Linked DNA regions of Rattus norvegicus. The protein of the gene in region 1 purifies or fractionates together with the protein of each later gene. This does not show direct contact. Links are inferred from orthologs where the notes say so. Each region holds a gene or a part of one and is shown on either strand. Other genes may lie near its edges.

Region 1 (3,500 bases):
CTCCCTTTTTTCATCTTGCTTCATATCCCATGACAGTAGCCTTTTAGCTAGAAGCTGGTGATGTTTCTGTTTTATTTGTTTTTCTGACTTGTCCTTGAAATTCACAGCTTTCCTTTCCTCTGCACAGGCTGCTTTGATTATGCAGGTCCTTCAACTCACTGCAGACCAGATTGCCATGCTGCCTCCTGAGCAAAGACAGAGCATCCTAATCTTAAAGGAACAGATACAGAAATCCACCGGGGCACCTTGAAAGGTGAGCTGACTGAGTGGCACCTGGGCAGGACTAAGTCCTTCTGTGTGTGAAGTACATAACTTCAACCTTTAGCAGCGTAATGTTCTCTGAGACCCTCAGTCTTCGTTAGGTTCTCTTTACCATTCAGTAATCAGTACCTCTGAGGATATGTTAAGGCTGTAAAACATTTGTTCAGTTGTTGAATTACTTACAATCTTTTTCAGCCTTTTATAATAGTGAAATTAATATGTCGGTTTCCTAAAATTAATAAGACACAGGAATGTAGAAAATTAAAGGTAGGGCCAGCAAGATGGCTTAGAAGGTAAAAGTACCAAATCTTTTGCCAGTTCTGATTAACTGAGTTTGATCCACAGAAGTTACATGCTAGAAAAGAGAACCAACTCTTCTCAATCTGTCCTCTGACCTTACACACACACACACACACACACACACACACACACGGTAGCTTATGTGCACCCAAATATAGTAAATAAATGTAAGTAAAGAAAGAGAGAAGAAAGAGAGGTTAGTAAATGTGAAAAGCCTTGCTTCCTAGAGATCAAACAGGGATCCATGCACTCGAAGCATAGAATATACCAGCTGAGCTATAACTCAGCCCTCGTAATGAGCATTTTGGTGGTTCATTATTATAAGCCATTTAAAGTAGTAGATGTCCCTGTCACCATCACTTTCTTTACATCATAAAGATGACTGTACACAACTTTTCTCCTTTATAAATCAGGTAAGAAGGATCCAGGTGCACTTGCCTCATAAATAATCATATGACCAAACTAGCTGTATAATATTGTTTTGTTTTTTAAAATATTTCCCAACATCTTTATATTTCATAAACAATCCTGTTCTCTGAAAGCAATTTAAAATGTATATTGTCCTGTACCTGTTGTAATGTCTTTTTTGGAACCTTTATCTTTTATCCATATGCCTTATAAATCCCATACACATGTTACCATGTCTTACTAACTATACTGTATGTAGTTCATATTTGTAGTACCTTTAAAGCTTTCAAACTACAAATATGCATTGTATTTTATGGAGACTTTAAATGCCTAAACTATAATTGGATCATTGATGGTTAGCTAACTAGACATTTAGTATATCCTATTTTACCTTTTCCCCCTTATATCGTACACATTCTATTTCTTCAATAGAAACATGGATTATAATAGTGATAGGGATTTACATTTTAAAAGGTACGTCAAAGAAGGCATTCTCTGCAGTATGAGCAAATGACTGGTTTTAGAAAGTTGTATACTCTCAGTTATCTCTCATTTGCCTTGCATCCTGACCTCAGTGCAGGATTTTACTTTCTTTATTTTTTTTAATTTTAACCTTTTCAAATGATCATTATTTTACAGGGATTTGGAAAACTAATACAAAGGGCCTGTATGGCTTCTCACAGTGATAACATCTTACACTTTTCTTTTGAAGTACAGGCCCAGGCACTTGTCGTTGGTGTATTACTGTGAGCGAGACTGTAGACGATTCAGTGTTTATAACTGTGGCGGTGCTAATTTATACCAGGAGATGTGAAAACACAACTGTGATTTTTATGTGATCAAACTCTACTGGCATTTATGAACGCTGTGGCTGAAGCAGTGGCTTTTCCTCCTAAACTTAAGATTTGATTTCTTTCCATCATCCCAGAGAGACGTATTCATCACTATTAGACATAAGTAGTACTTAGACTAGAGAGATCGCTCAGTTCCTAAAGTGCACACACTTGAGAAGTACCTGAGCGTCCAAGTTCAAACCCTAGTACCAACGTGAAAAGTTGGGTGTGGTGGTACACCCTGGTAATCTTAGAGGGGGAGGTAGAAACAGGAAGATTTTTGGGGTTTGCTGACCAGCCCCCCTAACCTAATCAGTAATCCCTAGACCCCAATGAGACAGCCAGTCTCAAACCAGGTGGATAGTCTTCTAAGGCTTGTTATCACTTGAAGTTCACTTCACCCCATGGCTTCTGCCCTCATAGACACATATACATATATGAGAAAGGTAGTTTTGAGGTAGGGGAAGTTTACGTATCTATGGTATATTTGTCAATTTATGTTGTCAAAACTTTAGAAAGTTACAGTATACCACTGTCATTCCATGGGTACAGATCAGAGATGCTTCTGAACATCCCATAATGATGCACAGGATATCTCCCTCACTCCTTCTTCTAAGAGCGCACATTTGGTTAAATATGTCCCTATAATGCTAAGGTTGAGAAACCCTGCTACAAAGGACGATGGGGAGACACAATAAGAGTCAGACAATGGCTATTTGATGGTCAGCACATCCTCCCTTCTCTCAGTCCACTTTTGTTCTGTGACGGTGGTTGTTTTTTCCTGATGTTTAGGAAAGAAAAGTCCACTTAAAATACCTTTCTCCCAAATTTGTCTTACAGGTTCTCAAAAATACCTGGCAACAAATCTGGAAATGTAATTCCATAACATTGTTGAAATGTTGAAAACATAGTGACTTCTGCATCTAACCCCCCTGGATGACTCAGATTGGTACCAGGTGGAGGACCTGCATCACCATTTCTCCAAAGGAAAACAGTTCATTCTGATGTCGTAGTTTGTATATTTTCTGTGATGTTAAATAAACATTGAACATAAGTTTAACATATTACAAATTGAAATACATAATCCTTTTGCTGTTAAGAAGCTAACACCAAGGATAAAAGCTTAGCTGTGATTTCTGACCTTACTGCAGTGTCATTCTTTAATCTTACATTGCCGTAGCTCTATTCTTACTTTAGCATAAACATTTATTCTTCTTAATGATACTTGAGAATTTCTCAGAAACAATGTTTTTAGGAACTTTGTTTTTTGTTGAATTTGCTTTCAGCAAGGTAATAAGACTTTGGCCCTTGAAAACTTTCCAGTCTTAGAGTTTTCTGGGAGAAAAAAAGCATGTGGTTAGAACTACAAACAATTAGAAGACCAACAAGCGAAGAGCATACCACAGGGGTGTGTTTGGTTTAAGGAATGCCAATTCTCAAACTGTGGTTTTAGTCAGTTGCAGGTCTGGACATACATAAGACAAAGATTGTTTTGGCACTGGTTTGAATGTGAATCAACAACCTAAGACTGTTGTAAAGCTCTTCTGTCTATGTATCAACTTTACAAGGTTTTCTACATGTTCAAATTTAATAAAGAAAACCAAGTGAACAAACTATATTCCATTCTTTCAGAAAATTGCAAAGCTTTCAGCCCTATCATCTTCTCTAAATCCATTCCAAAAACTCCCAACAGAAAAC
Region 2 (4,285 bases), on another chromosome or scaffold:
CACAAGCACCTTTACTAACTGATCACATCCTCAGCCCTATAAATCACATTCTTGATGCAACTGACAATTCTGAGTATGGATATGTTAGAAACACATCATCAAGCCAAGTGCACTGGAAAGAACCTATGATCCCAGTACTTGGGAAGTAGAAGTTCAAGGTCATTATCAGCCACAAACTGAGCCAGTCTGCCCTCAAACTTGTACAAGACCCTATCATAAAAAAAAATAACACAGAAGCCAGGAGGGGTTCCTTTAATCTCAGCACTCTGGAAGCAGAAGCAGGCAGATCTCTGTGAGTTGGAGGTCAGCCTGATCTATCAATGGAGTTCCAGGACAGCCAGAAATGTTACACAATTAATGTCATTACATAAGAGAATGTTGAAATAGTTTGGAATGAAGTTTGATATGTCAACTTTCAAAGAAATGCGTTATGGAGAAAAAAATATATCAATAGTCAATAGTAGAGCTTGCCTAATATGAGCAAGATCCTACCTTTAAAGCCACAGCACTGCCATACACAAGAAATATGTATATGAACACATACATGCAATACCACATATATACGACAAACCCTGTAACCATTGTTGGATTTGGTGAAAATTATAATGGGTGTTCATGAGTTTTTCCTTCAACTTTTTTTTGTTATAAACTGTGTAATAAAATTCAAAGGCGGAATACCTGTTACAGGTGCTGAGGCTGAAAGATTGCATCTAAGGCCTGCCTGAGTCACAGAGTAACTAAATCTTACAAAGGCTATTGTGGTGGTGTACCATCTTTCCTCCTAAAAGTGGTGGTGTACCATCTTTCCTTCTAGATGTGGTGGTGTACCATCTTTCCTTCTAGATGTGGTGGTGTACCATCTTTCCTCCTAGATGTGGTGGTGTACCATCTTTCCTCCTAGATGTGGTGGTGTACCATCTTTCCTCCTAGATGTGGTGGTGTACCATCTTTCCTCCTAGATGTGGTGGTGTACCATCTTTCCTCCTAGATGTGGTGGTGTACCATCTTTCCTCCTAGCACTCAGCAAGGCAGAGGTGGGTGACCTCCATGAATTCGAAGACAGCCTGGTCTATGTAGCATAGCAAGTTCCATGCCAGCCAGGACTACATAGTGACAACTGTCAAAATAAAAGGGGTTTGGAGAATGAAGGTTTATAAGGTCTCATCACAGTTGTTTTCATAGAAATATGGCACACTGTGTTGTGATTAAGGCTTTGAACTCAGCGGTTGAGTACTTCCCAGCATGCACAAGGTCCCGAGGTTCAATTTCTACCTGGGGTGGAATAGTATGACCAAAACAAAAACTAAAACCCACACAGTTCTAAAACAAAACCACGGCAATATTTTTGTCTTTACAAATTTATGTAAAACAGTGAATTCCAGACACATCCAAAGAAACCTCAACACCACTCCTTCCTTTCAGAAAATAAAAATGCCAGCCCTGGAAGAGCAGAGTAAAAGAAACAGTTTTAGTAAGTAAAATAATTCAAAGACATTGCATTCGTGGGCACCCTAACATTAGATAAAATACAAAAGCACTGCCAAGACTTCCCAAAGTAATTAAGTTCTAATTTACCTACACTTCATTAACATACAGTCCTATTTTACCTCATCCATCAACCTCCAATAATTTTTACTTTATAAGGTGGGGATTTGGGGAAAAAAGAAAAGGAAAAAAAATACAAGTGTATTCCGTTACTATAGCAATAGGAAATTTAGAACTTTGTAGGACCACCTTTCTTTTAGAACTAAATATACTAGGATCAAGATCAAAACACACATCTTTCATAGTCATTTTTGTTTTTTACAATAAAAAGCAAACACTAGCCTACAAAATTTAGGATATAAAAGAGCAAAAGAACCCAACATGAAGATGCACGCCAGTATTCCCAGATAACCCTAGCACTAGAGGCCAAGGAAGCAAGCCTGTCAGAAGGTCCTGCCTAGTCAGGGCTACTCAGTAAAACCCTATCCAAAATAAACAAACAAGCAGTAAAAGGGTGAGATCTCATATCTAAAAATCCAATTTGTAAAATACTTAGATATCATTCATATCTACCATCCAAACAGATGGTACCTACAGTGACTAAAGCACATTTCCAGTTTTCAATTTACCAAATTCTGCAATGTTTGCGTGCTCGTAAAAGCAAAAACAACGTTTTCCTTGACGAGAGAGAAAGAAAGCAAAATTCCACCAAAGCTCGGAAGAGCCATGCTCTACTTCTGGACTGCTACTTTTAACCTTCGCTCTCTCGGGGGCCGAATTTTCCAGATTGGTTTAGTTTTTATTTCTGGGGACAGCAGACTGGGGCGCAGAGGAGAGAAATATTGCCAACGCAGATATACGTTAAAATAATCCGGTACTACCGGAACACTAAAATGGTATGAAATAAACCGTCCCGACCGAAGAAAGTGCAACGAACAGGGCGAAGCAACGTCTCAGCTATTGTCTAAGTCAAATACTTCGTGTGAACGCCACAGAAAAGTCAAAATCTGGGAGACCTCAGGAGCTGTGCTTCCGACCCCGGGATTCACTAGATCCCCAGGGCCCTTCCTCACGCGAACAGGGCTGGAGTGTTCGCACCCACAGGCCAGAGAGAGAAGTCGCCACGAGGCCCCACCGCTCCCGTTCCTCACCTGCTCCGCGGCTGCGTCTCCTGACATGGCCTCAGAGGATTACAACGTACACACGGGCCGGCAATGGGAAGCTAGAAAGGAAAATTTTAAACTAAAAACAACCCCACCAAAACCAGTAACGCTACCCCTTGTCCCTCGGAGCCAGAGCCGCCGCAAAAATCGCCACCGCCCACTCAGATATGAATTAAAATGGCTGCGCCCCAGCCGGCTGAGGGGGTGTGAGTCGCTTCCGTATTCACTTCCGGGACAATGGGCGGGGCTGAGGCTCAACTCCCGGATTATTGGAGGTGCACAAGCGCAGAGCGATCCCAGGGGGCGGGCTCAGCGCGTGAGCTAACGTCACGGCCCGGAACTGATGACGCCGCTGTCCAGATTTCTGAGGACGGCCGGAAAGATCCAGCCGATTGGCCTGGGAGCTCCCGCGCTTCTTGGAATTTAATTACTGAGTTGCAGAGCCAGGCTCCTCCCCGTTGAAGCCTGACTGCCAATCCGCTCAGTACAGGCAAACTGACCATTTTAGGGAACAGCGTTGAGAGCTAGTGAATACCTCTCGTGTTTAGGGGATAAGGAGTCTACTAAGGCATTCTGTACACTTTCTTTTCTTGGGGGTGAGAGGAACAAATCTAGTTCGTATTAACTTTTGCTGTCACCGTTCACTACCAGACCCGGGATTTTAGTTTAGCGTCTCACTATGGTTTCTTGTCTGCAAAATTGCGGTGATAGTACGGATAGTACGAAATGTTGCTTTGTACCCAGACTTCTCACCTCACTAGAGTAACCTGGGCAATTTGCATTCTCTCTGTCTCTGTTTCCTTACCTAAAGATAAGAATAACAACAGCAGCTGAGATTTAATTAAAAAAAAAAAAAAAAAAAAAAAAAACCCTCTCTTTTGGCTTAGGCCTTAAATCACAGCACCCTGGGGACAGAGGCAGGGTGGATCTCTGTGAGTTCGAGTCCTGTAAGGCTCCAGGACGACAAGGGCCTATGAACTTTCTATTTCACCTTTTAAGCAAACAGTCGCGTGAATCACATGTACATATATTAGGAGTCACTGCAACATTTGATAATGGAGGTCTGAATATTTCAGAAGTCTTTTACAATGGAGAGTCAATTTTTTAAACTGTTGCTGATGTAACTGACTTATAAAAATATCCACAATGAGTCAGGGTGGTTCGAAGAATGGAGGTGCTTGCTGTGATGTCCTAAAAGCCTGAGTTTGATCCTACTAGCATTCGATGAGTTGACAGGATAGAACTGACTCCAGAAAGTTGTTCTTTAACCTCCACACATGCACTATGGCATGTAAACTTCTGCACTCACAAACGCATAGACATACACAAGATAAATATATAACTCTAAAGATATCCACGAAATTAAGCCCAAAAAGTGCAGAATATAAAATAGCTTATGTATGTATATATGTGTGCATCTGTGTGCGTATTCATCAAAACATCTAGAGGATGCTGTTAATGCCACAGATACAAGCAGAAAGACCACTAACCCAAATCATGACCAAATTAATTAAAACAAGCTTTTTTAAAATCCATGCACACAGGCTGTCTCTAAGGGCTGGGTTCGAGAGATCAGCCTTGGATGTGGGGAAGATACACCATTTTATAGTCCAGGAGTAGAAGATTGCCAAATGGAG

Evidence for each region. The genes of interacting proteins can lie anywhere in the genome.
Region 2: the proteins of Cstf2 (region 1) and Cstf3 fractionate together in Homo sapiens (co-fractionation; 4 studies listed by BioGRID and IntAct, with this or other methods). This does not show direct contact. The link is inferred for Rattus norvegicus from reciprocal best matches to the Homo sapiens genes CSTF2 and CSTF3.

Annotation. Positions count from the first base shown.
Region 1 is NC_086039.1:101,567,535-101,571,034, forward strand, and holds part of Cstf2 (cleavage stimulation factor subunit 2), read left to right. Parts: exon of another isoform or gene 1-127; coding exon 128-250; 3' UTR 251-253; intron 254-2,642; 3' UTR 2,643-3,500. UniProt on the Homo sapiens protein: One of the multiple factors required for polyadenylation and 3'-end cleavage of mammalian pre-mRNAs. This subunit is directly involved in the binding to pre-mRNAs.
Region 2 is NC_086021.1:111,419,806-111,424,090, reverse strand, and holds the start of Cstf3 (cleavage stimulation factor subunit 3), read right to left. Parts: upstream 2,801-4,285; 5' UTR 2,664-2,800; coding exon 2,637-2,663; intron 1-2,636. UniProt on the Homo sapiens protein: One of the multiple factors required for polyadenylation and 3'-end cleavage of mammalian pre-mRNAs.